Linked DNA regions of Caenorhabditis elegans. The protein of the gene in region 1 purifies or fractionates together with the protein of each later gene. This does not show direct contact. Each region holds a gene or a part of one and is shown on either strand. Other genes may lie near its edges.

What was found. The genes of interacting proteins can lie anywhere in the genome.
Region 2: the proteins of mtl-2 (region 1) and dhs-11 fractionate together in Caenorhabditis elegans (co-fractionation; one large-scale study listed by BioGRID). This does not show direct contact.
Region 3: the proteins of mtl-2 (region 1) and ani-3 fractionate together in Caenorhabditis elegans (co-fractionation; one large-scale study listed by BioGRID). This does not show direct contact.

The regions. Positions count from the first base shown.
Region 1 is NC_003283.11:14,017,750-14,020,323, reverse strand, and holds mtl-2 (Metallothionein-2), read left to right. Parts: upstream 1-1,650; 5' UTR 1,651-1,704; coding exon 1,705-1,720; intron 1,721-1,777; coding exon 1,778-1,953; 3' UTR 1,954-2,054; downstream 2,055-2,574. Other genes in the region: T08G5.1 (Titin), read right to left, coding at 1-96, 143-227, 271-694, 969-1,037, 1,082-1,124. UniProt on the Caenorhabditis elegans protein: This protein binds cations of several transition elements.
Region 2 is NC_003281.10:10,640,323-10,644,668, forward strand, and holds dhs-11 ((3R)-3-hydroxyacyl-CoA dehydrogenase), read right to left. Parts: upstream 2,544-4,346; 5' UTR 2,533-2,543; coding exon 2,502-2,532; intron 2,447-2,501; coding exon 2,292-2,446; intron 2,243-2,291; coding exon 2,156-2,242; intron 1,909-2,155; coding exon 1,663-1,908; intron 780-1,662; coding exon 564-779; 3' UTR 514-563; downstream 1-513. Other genes in the region: orc-1 (Origin recognition complex subunit 1), read left to right, coding at 2,812-3,744, 3,805-3,908.
Region 3 is NC_003283.11:19,695,971-19,703,744, forward strand, and holds the start of ani-3 (Anillin-like protein 3), read left to right. Parts: upstream 1-1,761; 5' UTR 1,762-1,812; coding exon 1,813-1,872; intron 1,873-1,930; coding exon 1,931-2,108; intron 2,109-3,043; coding exon 3,044-3,356; intron 3,357-4,172; coding exon 4,173-4,548; intron 4,549-5,111; coding exon 5,112-5,463; intron 5,464-6,074; coding exon 6,075-6,250; intron 6,251-6,762; coding exon 6,763-6,847; intron 6,848-6,936; coding exon 6,937-7,204; intron 7,205-7,656; coding exon 7,657-7,774. Other genes in the region: Y43F8C.13 (Nucleoside hydrolase), read right to left, coding at 527-887, 1,386-1,416.

The DNA.
Region 1 (2,574 bases):
AATTTTTGGGATTCCCCGATATCTAAATGGTTGTTTTGCGGATATTGACTTTCCTTTCAGATGACTCGGTGGCACTGCTTTTACAAATCGATTTTTCTGGAAAATTTTGAATTATTTAGCCTATAAAATCCACAAAACTTACATCATCCGGATGGCACCTCCTGAATTTAAGACCATAGTTGATAGTAGGTGGAGGAATTGTTGGATAACGTGGGTCTTGATGTACTCTGAAAAATTTTAAATGGTTGTGTAATGAGTGTCAGAGCTCACCGAATTTTTCTGGAGTGATGTCTTGGACGATATGCAATGTTTCTGGGTTTTTGATGGTGCTTTATACTATTAAAGTTTCTTAATACAGTAACATCCTCGTTATTTTGAGTATTTCGAGAAGTTGAAGTATTTCTTTGCTTTCTCATTTTTCTTCTAACTATTCGCTTTGGCTGTTTCTTCACTTTTCTTTTCTTCTTATGTGTTTCCGTTGTGTAAATTGGACCAGGTAGAATAATCGGTGATTCAACTTCCCGAATAGTCATCACTTCGTAATTCATCATTCTATCGTCATCTTGTTCACGAGAATGATTGTCAAATAATCTTGGCTGCTCTGTAATAACATCTTCCTGAAGACGAGCTTCACTAAAGCGCCTTCTGACAGAATCAGGGCTTGTTGGCACAGAGTTGAATGGGGTCCAGTCGTCTGAAATTTTAAAATTGAATCACTTTTACGGGTAAGGCAGGATATCACGATAGTGTCTAAAAGGAGGAAGAATTTTTTCTTGTTTTCTGCCTGGAATTGTTTCAGGATTAAAATAGCAAGCCTCGAAGTTTGCCCGCTGGCCCGAAATAGCCTATTCATCAGTCAGCCGCAGAAGGGTTGTTTTTGGGGACCCCGCTTTACCGGTGTAGTATTATTTGACATTGGTAATTTTTTAATTACGGTTAAACATAAGTTAAACAATAAAATTACAAACCTGCACAAAGAGTTCCTGGGCCACATAATGTTTCATCAATATCACTTCCCCAGGCGCTATGTCTATCTTCTGAAATCTCAGTTTTCTTTTCTAAATTAAATAATATTTCAAACCTTCTACATGTTCTGGAGCGGTTCTGGAACTTTTTTGTCCCATAGAGAATACAAAAAGAGACGAAAATGGTTCAGTGGAACGAAACAAACGTGGGATGTAACCATGGAAGTGAGAATAATTGATGGAATAGCTAATGAGCTGAAGCTGAGTAGATCAGAGACTACTTTATTCTAAAAAGTACAGTAGTTGGAAAATTACATGTTTCATTTCTAATTTTCAAGGAAAAGCTAGTAATTACCGTAATCTTGTTTGTACCTGAAATTTTATGTACTGCAGGTGACCAAGTATGTTTGAGGCATGACTTCACACACCTAACTGATAAAGGCCTCTATCACAAACTAGAGTTGTGACGGAAAATTCAACTTCTCAGAATATAGCTCAAAATCTATCAAATTTTATTTTCAAAAATCCAAATAATTGTGCACGCAATGTACTTACTGCTTCATAAAGTTCAGAAGAATTGGATAAATTTGAATGAAGTTTTCAAAGCTTTTATCAGTGACTGTACATTGTGATAGGCTTGTGCTGTTATCAGCTGCCTCAAATAGGTTGTCGCTTGAAAATTTATATAAAAGGCCTACCAGCAGACATGAGAATCAAGCTTCAAAGGCTCTACTCAAAAATGGTCTGCAAGTGTGGTAAGTTGAAATTTCATTACGCTTTTAATTAATTTTGAATGAAACCCCCTTTCCCAGACTGCAAAAACCAAAATTGTTCCTGCAACACCGGAACTAAAGATTGCGATTGCTCCGACGCCAAGTGCTGTGAGCAATACTGCTGCCCAACTGCCAGTGAGAAGAAATGCTGCAAATCTGGATGTGCCGGAGGATGCAAGTGTGCCAACTGCGAATGTGCTCAGGCTGCTCATTAATTTGAAATTAATACTCTTCCCTTTGAAACAAATTCCTACTAATTGATATTGTTCGAGGTTTTTTCTTGAAAGCTGAAATAAATGTTAAATATTTATTGTAATTTCTTAGATTTTTAAACTGTCTTCCTTGTCAACGACCAGAAGCAAAAATTATGGGAATCGCGATAAAATTCAAGGAAAACTTTTGATCATCACTTTTGATCTTCACACGATTTGTTCCTTTTCAAGTAAAATATAAATCTTTTTCCGAACAGACTGAATCCATTATCAATTTTATAGACAGTGGAAAACATTTATCAAGTTAAGACAATTTTGAAAATTACGAAAAATCATTTGACCCAAATGGGTCAGGTGTTATTTCTTAATTCAAAAGATCTCAGAACCAGGAAAAAACATTTTTGTGTGGTTTGTTTTCAGCTGCTTTTCACTTAATAAATCAATTAATGCATCAACCAAATTGTTAAAAACTACAAATAGTGCGACTGAAAATTTAAAAATTGTGCCCAAACTTTTAATGAGGTTATCAATTTTCAATATCTCGAACATTTGGAAATTTTTGGAATTTTTTTGTTGGAAATTTGCTTAAAGTATTTACTAACTTTTGATCTCATATGTTTGAAT
Region 2 (4,346 bases), on another chromosome or scaffold:
TTAATTCCAAAAGTCAATCCTTAAAGTGCATTCCCAGTTGTACTCGATATGAATCGTATACTAGAAAATATTTTTTTTGTTCAATTCCAATATCTAAAAGTGCAACTAATAAAAAAACAGTTGCTTGTTTTTTGCCGACTTCCGTATCACCCGTCTGACTGGCACGGAGCAAAAGTTCCAAATGACTATAAATCTGGAAACGTATATGTGTGTGTGTGCTTGTGTTTGCACTTTCTTCTTCTCAGACGCAGATAGTTTCTAGAAGGACCACCCGGCACGGCGAGCACTCCCGGGTTTTTTATGGGCGACGAGAGAGTATTGTGGGAGATGAGAAGGTGCTCGCGGAACCATTACATTAAATGAGATTGAGCACACGGCGAGGAGCCAACAAAAAACACACACACACACATACAAACGCCCCGAGAGGACGCTTGAGACATTCTTCCTTGCAAAAGGGCAAAAACACAAATCGTGGTAATGACTATACGAATCAGAAACACAGAAAAAAACGAAGAAGCAATTTTATTTGAAAGCTAAAAAGAGGAGTCCAAATTCTTTAAATTCTACATTCCAAGTCCTCCAGTAACTTCCAACGTGGTTCCAGTGACATATGAAGACATATCCGATGCCAGGAACAACACGGCGTTCGCGATCTCCTCAGTCTCACCGAGTCTCCGTTGTGGAACCATCGAGACCATTGCATCAAGGACCTTCGGAGGCATAGCCTCTGTCATTGGTGTTCTGATGAAGCCGGGGAGCACAGCATTCACGCGGATGTTCTGGAAAATGTTGAATTTTAGATTATTTAGAATTTTATAATATTTTACTGGGCAACTGTCCGATTGGATCTTCGTTGGTGCCGAACCGATTTAAACACCAGAAACCGATCATTGTTTTGTTTCCCAGTTTATTTTTCAAAAAGTTTCCCATGAGGAATAGTGAATTGAACATCAAAATGTTATGTCCAGTATGATAATTCAATTAAAATTCTTCTATTTAAAACGTTAATGTCCTTCATAAAGTTCATACTGTATCATCCGCAATGAACTTCGTCAACCCCCTGTTGGTAAGGATTAAGACATCTTTTATATTACTCGCAATGATATTTTCAGCTCAATACCTTCATCATGGGAATGCTTGCAACTACCTCGGCAAGCCTCGGTGACGAGTCGTGTTTTTTTTTCAAATTCATGTTTGTAGAACCGTCCGATTTTTTGGACCCTATAGCCAAAAGCTTAAGAACCATCTACAAAAGGGACCTCAACAAGTACACGCGCTGCGAAAATCGACAATGACAGTCTTATTACGGGAAAACAATACTCTGAGAATGCGTATTGCGCAACATATTTGACGCGCAAAATATCTCGTAGCGAAAACTACAGAAATTCTTCAAATGACTACTGTAGCGCTTGTGTCGATTTACGAGCTCGATATTTGAAATGAATAATTAAAATAATTTAGGATCATGGAACATCGCTGAGCCCGTAAATCGACATCAGCGCTACAGTAGTCATTAGAAGAGTTGCTGTAGTTTCCGCTACGAGATATTTTGCTCGTCAAACATGTCGTCTTGTGCCCCAGATTTTTTTTTGCAAATTGAGAAAAACAATTAAAAAATGGGTGGTTAGAACAATCTGAAAATCAATTTTTAATTGATTTTACCTTTGTGGCAAGCTCCCTGGCTGCCGATTTCGTAAAACCAATCACTCCAGATTTAGTGGCAGCGTAGTTAGTTTGGCCGAAATTTCCGATTTTTCCGACGATCGACGACACGTTTACAATGGAGAGCGGAGATCCGGCGGCCACAGATTCACGAGCAATCATCTGAGACATCAGAAAAACACTATTCAAATTGACATTCATCACATCCTGCCACTGATTCTGGCTCATTTTCAACAGGGTAGCGTCCTAAAATGTAAAAAGGTCAATTTTGCAGTGTTCTAAGATATAAAAGAGACACGGTAATTTATTTGAAACGTCAGTTTAAAGGTGCACGCCATTTCTTTGGGTCTCGCCACGATCTCAGCCATATTTGATTTTGTATATTTATAAAAACTAACTTTTAATTATTTTCCTGGCGAGACCCATCTGGAAAAACTCGTGCGCCTTTAGGCAAGAGTCCCAGAAAACTACGAAATTCCGATATTCTATTAACCTTGGTGATGCCTGCACAATTCACGAGCACAGATGGCGATTCTCCGGAAGATTTTATGAATTCTTGTAGACGAGCCACGTGTTCTGGCTGAAAACAATTTTTAAACAATTCAATTCTTGAATTTTCTCTTTCTCACATCGCTGACATCAATCTCAAAGGCCGAATGCCCATTTCCAGGAAGATTGCCTGCTGTGGCTTCTGCTGCCGATTTTTTGAGGTCTGCAACGATGAGACGGGCTCCAGAAGCTGCGAATTTCTTGCAAATTGCTTGTCCGATTCCTGATCCACCGCCTGGGATTTTTTGTAGAGTTTGCTAGTTTTTTAAATTAAAATTAGTTAAAATTACCAGTGACAATTGCCAATTTCGATGAAAGCATTGTAGATTTACCTAAAAAATGCTGAGAAGAATTTATTTTTGAAAATTTTTATTAAAAATTAAAAAATCCAAAAAATTTAGAACGAGAGACTGTGTGAGACGAAGAGACGTAGACATTCCCGGGTGGTACGGTATGCAATGTGTGCAAACACCGTCGTGTACGCAGAGAGCGCCACTTTTGAATTCGAAAGCGTTCTCCTCGATTTCGCGCATTTTCATCATTATTCTCTGGTTTTTGTCGATTTTTATTATAAAAATATCGTTCCTTCAGCTTCTCACAATGAATACTCGCAAATCTGAAACGTCAAAGACTGTATCCGCCACTCCAGTCAAGCGGAGATCGACAAGAATCACTAATCTCCCGAAATCAGCTCCTAAAATCGTAAAGCGAAGCTCCGTTCGCCTCAGAGGAGCTCCACAATGCACATATAAATCGGATTCTTCTTCGTCCTCATCATCTTCAGATTCTGATGGAGAAGATGAGTACGCCGCGACAAAAGACGAGCTGAAAGCCGTAGATCACGATAATCAAATGGAAATCGATTTTTCCGATGAAATCGGCGAGAATTTCTCAGAAGAAGATAGCTGCAGTGATAAAGAAAATAGAAGAGTTACAAGAAGCAGGACTCCGACAAGGCTTGAAGAGACTCCATCGAAGAGGCTTGCTCGGGAATTAAGTAAAGCTTCAGTGTCGAAAGTTTCCACTTCAAAAACTCTATTCAAAGAGAGTAAATCACCTCGAAAAGTTGAGATTTCAAGGAAAACAAATAAAGCTCGAGTATTTCAAGAAGAAGATGATGACGATGAAGATGATTTCAGCGATGAAATTGACGAGAAATTCTATTCGAAAACTAACAAAAGAACACCAATCACAATAAAGATCCCTTCAAAAATGATAACCCAGAAAGTAACTCCACTAGTGATCAGCAAAACGCCAGGTGGAACACTGAGAACCCGTAGAAGGGCACGCCAGAACAGTGAAGAACTCGAAGATCTTGTGGATCCACTGGATTCCCGATCGGCTTCAACTCTGAAAGAGCTGGCGAGCAGGCTTCATCTCTCAAAGGTGCCCGAGAAGCTCCCATGCCGAGATATTGAGTCTCGAGAAATTGAGAAATTCATTCGAGAAGTTATTGATCCAAAACGTGGCGAGAGCTCTGCAATGTATATTAGTGGAGTTCCAGGCACAGGGAAGACAGCCACTGTTCGAGCGGTAAAACTTAATTTTTAAATTATTTTTCCAAATTTCTGGTTTTCAAATTCTATTTTTCAGGTCGTCAACTCGATGAAAAAGAGCAAAAAGTGTCAGAAATTCGTGTACGTCGAGGTCAATGCGATGATCTTCAAAAAAACTGTATTCGTAGAGATTTACAACGGGTAAGGACGTCTCGGAAAAGTTGAAAATCGAACAATTTCCATCTAACAACTGCAGAACTCATTGGAAAATGCTCAAAATTTTGCGCGGAATCCTCCGAAATTCGAATTTTTCGAAAATTGTTGGCTAATTTCTGAGTTTTTTCATAAGTTAACGGGGAATTTTTTGTTTTAAAGCTTGGAAATGGATCAATTTGAGCATTTTTAGACAGTTTTCAGCTTAATCGCAAGTTTTTAAAGAAAATATTATGCTGAAAACTGTCAAAAAACTGCTTAAAAAGACGTATTTTCCTTGCTTTAAAAAAATTTCGACTTAAAATTATAAAAAAACGCAAAAAAGTAACTTTAAAATGTCGATAAAAAAACGAATTTCAGTGGGTTCTGCTAGTTTTTACTTTATGAAAATGATCTAAAGTAGTGAATTTCGTGAAACCTTGAACA
Region 3 (7,774 bases), 5.7 Mb from region 1:
GGGTAGGGAAACTGTCCAGGTACCAGGGATACTGTAGGGGTACTGTAGAAATACTGTAGGTATACAGTTATGGTACCATAGGGCTTTAGTGGAATTAGTGTAGGGTTACTGTAGGGTTACTGTGTGTGTACTGTGGGGGGAACAGTAGGGGTACTGTAACACTATTGTGTGAGTACCTGTTCGGTTACCAGAGGTACTGTAGGGTTATGTAGGGGATCTGTTGGGGTACTGTCGGGGTACTATAGGGTTACTGTAGAGTTGCTGTAGGGATACTGTAGTGTTACTGCAAGGGCACAGTGGGGAACTGTGGGGATACAGTAACACTACTGCGTGAATACTAGAGGGGAACTGTCCGGGGTACCAGGGATAGTGCAGGGGTACTGTGGGGTACTGTAGGGATAGTGCAGGGGTACTGTGGGGTACTGTAGGGATAGTGCAAGGGTACTGTAGGTCGCTGTGGGGGTACTGTAGGGGTACTGTAGGGATGCGGTGGGGGTACAGAAGGGTTACTGTAGCCTCAACTTACACCAAAGTGGCATCCCGATTCTCTCTCAAAATATCGATTAAAGCAAGTGACGCATGCTTCCCCTCCCCCTCAAAATCGGATCTTTCGACTTTCGGGAACTCCTCCGGCTTATCACCGATCCCATCGATCCCGAAAAAATCGGATACGGTATCATCCTTCGGCAGCGACAAAATCGATTTAGCCGCACCCTTGTACACTGGGATATTGCTCCGATCGTTGGCTCGGATGGTTCTTTTGATGTTCGCACAGGCTTGATCTACTGTCACACAGCCGTGGACTGCGGTGAATGCGAGAATTTCGGCTTTTGGGTGCTGCAAGGCTAGGGAGATGGCTCGCACGTCGTCGCTTACACCGTCAGAGTCTGAAAATCGATTAATTTTTGTTTTTAAAGCTTAAAATTTGGTAAACTTTATGTAAAACTTTAAAAATCGATAAAACTCGCTAAGCAAGCGCGCTCCAGTGAACTAGTCCGTTTTCCGACGCTAATTTCAAATTTTCAAGTGTTTTTTGACGAAAATAAGTGGAAAATTTGAAGACTTCTTGTTTTTTTTTAAATTAGAATTCTCGTTTATCATCTGAAAATCCGAAAAAATCGATTATTGAAGCGTCTAGACTCGTTTTTTTAAATCGCCAAGCAATGCAATCACGCTCCAATGACAAACTCAGTTTTCTGGCGGGAAGCTCGAATTTTCCAGTGTTTTAACGAAAATCTTCGGAATTAATACGTTTTCGGTGTATTTGAACGTAGAAAAGTAGAAATTTTAAAAAAGAAAAGAAAAAACTCGAGTTTTAACGAATTTTATAGAATTTTTTACTCAAAAATTGGTTTAAATTTGTTTTTATTCTCCGTTTAACTCACCAATGACCAGCTTAACCTTGTCCACAGTCATGTTGTCTTTTTTCTGAAGAGCGTAATGTTATTAAAGTGAAAAAATTAAACTTAAAATAACTAAATAAATATATGAATTATTTCTCGTCGCAAAAAACGCAACATTTGGGCAAAAATCAATCTGTCACCTGAATAATGCACACAATCTTATCATTTTTTATCAATTCTTATCGCATTTTCTTCGATTATTCTCGCTTTTTCGCCGTAATTCCGCATAAATGCGATAATTCGCGAAAAAACTACGGTTTTTCTTAAAGGCGCATAGCTCAAAACTTCAAATAGGTCTCGCCACGAATTCAGTGATGTGAGGGATTCGATGGAATTTTGAATTTTTAAAATCGATTTTTGCGATTTCTAGACGGTTTTTCGCCGTTTTTTCGGAGATTTTTGACGAAAAATGGAGAATTTCGACGGAAAATCGATGCCGCCAACTCCGGTGCCAATCGGATCAAGTCAGGTAGGGCAAAAATCCGGAAAAATCGATACAATTCACAAAAAATCCGAATTTTTTCCAGTTCTACCGCTGGATGCCGCACCCGATCGTCGATACACCACCGTCAGATGCTACGTGGCGCAAACCGGTGCCACGCGGCCGAATTCGTGATCTCGTCGCCGCGTTCGATCAGTGCTCCGGCATGCTGGAGCAGAAGCCCCCACCTCCGCCCACGCAAAGGGTTGAAAGTCTTGAAAATGGTGCGGAAATCAATCGATAATTGAGAAAATCGATAGGGGAATGCGAAAAAACTGGAAAAAAATGGGGAAAATTGAGAAAAATTGAGGAAAATGAGAAAAAAAAACCATTTCCCCCGGTATTTCTCCTATTCAAATGCAAATTTATAAATTCACATGTATTGTTAATTTATTTGCACTGTCAACACACCAACTATACAGTTTTTACATGGAAAATTGATTTTTTAGAAAAAACAATCGGAAAATCCCAAAAGTTTTGGGAAAAATCCAGAAAAAATGGGATTTTTCGCAAGTTTTCGGATGAAAATTATGGTTTAAATTGAATTTTGAGTGGAAATTTGCAAAATTGGACTTTTTCAGAGAAAATAGTTATAATTTGCAAAAAACTAATTTTTAGAAATTTTTTTTTCCAAAAATTCAAAAAAATTTTTTTTTTCAAAATTTTCATTTTAATTGGCAATTTACCATTGAGTTTCTGGTGAATTTCGAAAATTTTCTCTAAAAAATCCTGAAAAAACGGAAAAACCTCTGGAAAATTCTAAATTTCCAGCAAAACCACCAAAATTGTCGGATTTTGTGTTAAAATTCTGTAATTTTCGGTGGAAAAATCGCTAAAATTTAGAATTTTGTGATTTTAAGCTAATTTTAAGGAATATTGTGAAAAAAATTAAATTTTTTAAGAATTAAAAAAAATTTCAAAAAATTTTTTTTTTTTTCAAAAATTAAAAAAAAATTTTTTTTCGAAATATTCACTTTTTATTGGGAATTTTACGAATTTTGAGCGAATTTTAAAAAAATTCCAAAAAACGATAATTTTTTTGCAAAAAAAATTTTTTTTCGAAAAAAAAATTCAAGTTTTTCCAACTTTTCACATTTTTCTCAAAAATGATCTTCAAAATTCGAAATTTCCCGCCAAAAATAACCCATTTTTCTTCCAGAACACATTGCTCCACCGCCAACTTCAAAATCCTCCAAAATTCCGGAAATTCTCGCCAAAAAATCGGAAAAATACATCTCACCGTACGAAAAACGTCATTTTCATGGTCGTCGTGGCACCCAGGCTGTCGTTTTTAATTCGAATAATGCTCAAAATGCTCCAAATGTGGGCGGAGCCTATCCATATGGAGCCACACCGTTGAAATTGCGAAATTTGGCCCAAAAAATGGATAAAGAGGAGCTCTACGTGGCTGATGACGTTGGAATTTCCAAAAAATCTGAAAATTTCGAAAATTCCGATGATGACGTGGCAAAGTACGAAAATTTGCGGCAAAAATGCTATAAATTCGAAAAAAATTCAAATTTTGTAGCCATTTTTGACATTTTTCCTTTAAAAAAAAATCTAAAATGTCCAAAAAAAAGCCGCGAAATTCAAATTTTTAATTTTTTCCTATAAAAATCGAAAATTTGCAGAAATTTTTGAGGTTTTTGAGACAATTTTTTGAATTGCCCAACTTTTTTTTGTTAAAATATCGAATTTTAAGTAAAAAACTACCGAAAATTCGACTTTCTCGCCTAAGAAGGGGCGGAGCCGCGCAGGCCACGCCCACAAAATGGTTATTAGCGATTTTTCGGCAAAAATTGCGAAAAAATCAATTAAAAAAAATCAATTCGGATTTTCAGTCAAAAATTTTCTAATATTCGATATTCTTGCCTGAAAAGAGGGCGGAGCCTAACAGGCCACGCCCACCAAATGGACGGAGCTTATTTTCTAAATACTAAAAAAAAACAAAAATTACAGCAAAAAAAACAAATTGAAATTTCAAAATTTCAAAAAAAAAGAGGGCGGAGCCTAACAGGCCACGCCCACCAAATGGGTGGAGCTTGTTATCTAAATACTAAAAAAAAAAAAAAAATTTGCAGGAAAAAACACAAATTGACACTTCAAAATTTCAAAAAAAAAAAGGCGGAGCCTAACAGGCCACGCCCACAAAACGGTTATGAGCTATTTTCGCTCAAATTTTGTAATTTTCAGTCAAATGTTCCCTAAAAATCGATATTCTGGAGCCCACAAAATGGCGACGAGCATATTTTCGTCAAAAATCGGTAAAAAATCGATATTTTTTGCAGTTTCCAAGAGCTTCTGGTGCTGGATGAGGTGCTGGAAAATGCTGAAAATTCTGAAAATCTGGAATCCCAGCAGTACGACGAGGAGAGCACCCTAAACCGAACATTTCAAGATTCTGGAGTTCCAGAAAATCAGGAAAATCTTCTCCAGCTCCCTGAGTGCCCAAAAACGCCGAAATTCACGAGTTCGCCCACGCTTTTCACACCGTATGCCGCTGGAGAGCCCATCGTTGAATATCGATGCTCGTCGGGCTCCGCGGGGGGTCCACTCAAAATTGTTGTGAAGAAGCTTCAGGCACCGATTGCACTTGCCACTTCGACACCGAAACCCGCAATGTGTCGGCCGCCGAAACACTCGGAACCACCACCGGCTTTTCAGGTGGATTATATCTGAGATTTTTGGCGGGTTTTTCAGTGAAAAAATTGAGAAAATCCCCGTTTGGAAAAAAGATTTTTAGTGGTTTTTGTGAAAAATCGAATTTTTCTCAAAAATTTGGAAAAAAATCTATTGAAAAATCGATTTTTTTTTTCGAAAATTTCGTAAAAAATCCATTTTTTCGAAAAAAACCAATTCAAAATTTCAAAAAAAAAGGGTTTTCTCTCCAAATTGTAAAAAAATCGATTTTTCTTTGAAAATTTTCTTCGAAAAAAAAAAGTTTTATTATATTTCGTTTAAAAAAATCGATTTTTTATTGTAGAATTCCGTAAAAAAATGGAATTTTTCGAAAAAATCAGTGAATTGTTTTTTGTTTTTTAACGAAGAAATTTCTAAAAAAAAATCGTTTTTTTCGAGAAAAATTTCATTTAAAAATCGATAATTTTGAAAAATTTCGATTCAAAAAACGTTTTTTCAAAAAAATTTCTTTAAAAATCAATTTTTTGAACTAAAATTTTGTAAAATTTCGTAAAAAATCGATTTTTTTACATCAATTTTTTGCGCAGGATTCCTTCGTGAGCTCAATCAGTAACTGGTCGGCAGTAGATCATCACGCGACGGATTCGCGCCGTCAAATGAACCGCCTACTCAATTCAATCGATGAAACTCGACATCACATTTTGCTCGCCGAGCACTCACTACTTGAAGCCCAAAAATCGAAATGTCCAATGCAAGAACTCGCGTCGCAACGGGTTTTGCTAATTTGTAGAGAACGGTTGAAAGTTCAATTGGAAGAAGTTCGGAGGCTTCAGGCAATGACTGTTGTCAGGCATCCACCACCACCGATTAATCGACATTTTAAATCGACTATGGTCATTTCGAATATTTCGCTTCAGTTTAATAAGCATTTCCATAGTCGTACGTGGTTTTTGAGTCTAAATTCGAGATTTTTGGGCCAAAATTGACTAAAAATTTGAATTTCCCGCCAAAATTTGACTGAAAATTTGAATTTTTGAATTTCCCGCCAAAAATTGACTGAAAATTTGAATTTTTGAATTTCCCGCCAAAAATTGACTGAAAATTTGAATTTTTGAATTTCCCGCCAAAAATTGATCACATGTTCGGTAGAGCGCACTTCGAAATTCAGAATTAAATTAGCGCGCATTCTGCGTTTTTAGTTAAAAATTTGAAAAAATTTGTGGTTTTTTGACACAAAACTCCAAAACATTGAATTCCCGCCGAAAAAAAAAATTGATTTTCGGTGGAGCGCACTTGCTGCAAGTATGCTCTACCGAACATTGATCGGTTTTCAGCGGGAAATTCAAATTTCCAGTCAATTTTTGGTGGGAAATTCAAAAATTCAAATTTTCAGTCAATTTTTGGCGGGAAATTCCAAAATTCAAATTTCCAGTCAATTTTTGGCGGGAAATTCAAAAATTCAAATTTTCAGTCAATTTTTGGCGGGAAATTCCAAAATTCAAATTTCCAGTCAATTTTTGGCGGGAAATTCAAAATTTCTGTGTTTTCAGGCGGCTCTTACGCTTTCCTTGTGCTCCTCAAATGCCGTACAGAAGTCGAGGCAACCGGTGTCGTTACCCTTTTGGCTCAATTCCAAACTCCGCAAAATTTCATTCTTTTCGGTGAACACTTGCGTTTTTCCAATCTTCCCGTCGATTTTACCATTGGAATGGAGATTTATATGATGGTAATGCTTGACAACAGAAAATAAAAATTTTTGACTGTAGTGGGGGTCGAACCCCGGACTTCTGGGCCGTAGCCATACCTCTACCCAGTTGAGCCACTTGTACAAAAAATTTTTTTTTTTTCGAAAAGAAGTACCAAAGCTGAAAATCTGCGTAGAGTTCTAATTTTTGATTAAAACCGCTCAAAAAACATCGTAAAAAATCAGTTTTTGAAAATTTTAGCCAATAAAGTCAGTTTCAATCGGTTTTTACCAAGAAAAACATCGTAAAATGATTTAAAACTAATTAACCCACCACTGGAGAGTAGCAAAAAAAATTTTTGACCGCAGCGGGGATCGAACCCCGGACCTCTGGGCCAGAGTCTAACCTCTACCCCACTGAGCCACTGGTACACAAAAAAAAATTTTTTTCAAAAAAAAAGGCCCCCCGGCCTCAAATTTTTTACTGATTCTGAATTTTTAGGTGTCTTACCACACGAATAGATACAAATACCTCAAAAATCTGGAATTTTCAGCGAGTTCCCGAGCACCGACCACCTGAGAAGACGTGCGCCGCGTTTTTGGCACAAAAAGTGCGGAATTTGCTGGTGCCGAGCAATGGTAATTTGGAAATTTTATTTGTTTTAGGAAATAAGGATGAAATTCCAAAAAAAAAAAAAAAATTTTTTTTCAAAAATTTCAAATTCCAGCCGCTCACCGCCGCCCGACTACCTCCACGCCACAAAAATCGATACAAAATGCCACGTCACCTGCGTGTGACTTCCAACTTTGCGGAAATTTAACGTTGGACCGCGATTCGTCGGGCGATAACCGCCGCTTCTATTTGGATGACGTCATTTATCCGCTGGAGGGAACTGTGAAGCTCAATTCACACTGCACATCACTTCCTGATGCAATTGATATGGAATATCGAGGATTTCTTCATATTTTACACGATTCTGCAAGTCCTTTGGAGAGGTACTTGGAAATTGACTGAAAATTTGAATTCCCCGCCAAAAATTGACTAGAAATTTGAATTTCCCGCCGAAAAATGACTGAAAATTTACATTTTTGAATTTCCCGCCAAAAATTGACTGAAAATTTGAATTTTTGGAATTTCCCGCCAAAAATTGACTAAAAATTTGAATTTTTGAATTTCCCGCCAAAAATTGACTGAAAATTTGAATTTTTGGAATTTCCCGCCAAAAATTGACTAAAAATTTGAATTTTTGAATTTCCCGCCAAAATTTGACTGAAAATTTGAATTTTTGAATTTCCCGCCAAAAATTGACTGAAAATTTGAATTTTTGGAATTTCCCGCCAAACATTGACTGAAAATTTGAATTTTTGAATTTCCCGCCGAAAAGTGACTGAAAATTTGAATTTTTGAATTTCCCGCCGAAAAACCACCTAAAAATTCCAATTTTCAGAGCAAAAAAAGTCCCAATTTGGCACAAATACTGGTCACTTCTTCATCGCGGAGCCATTTTGTTCTGGAGCACTCCACAAGAGGAAGTTCACGAAAAAGTCCCAATTTTCCAGATTGAT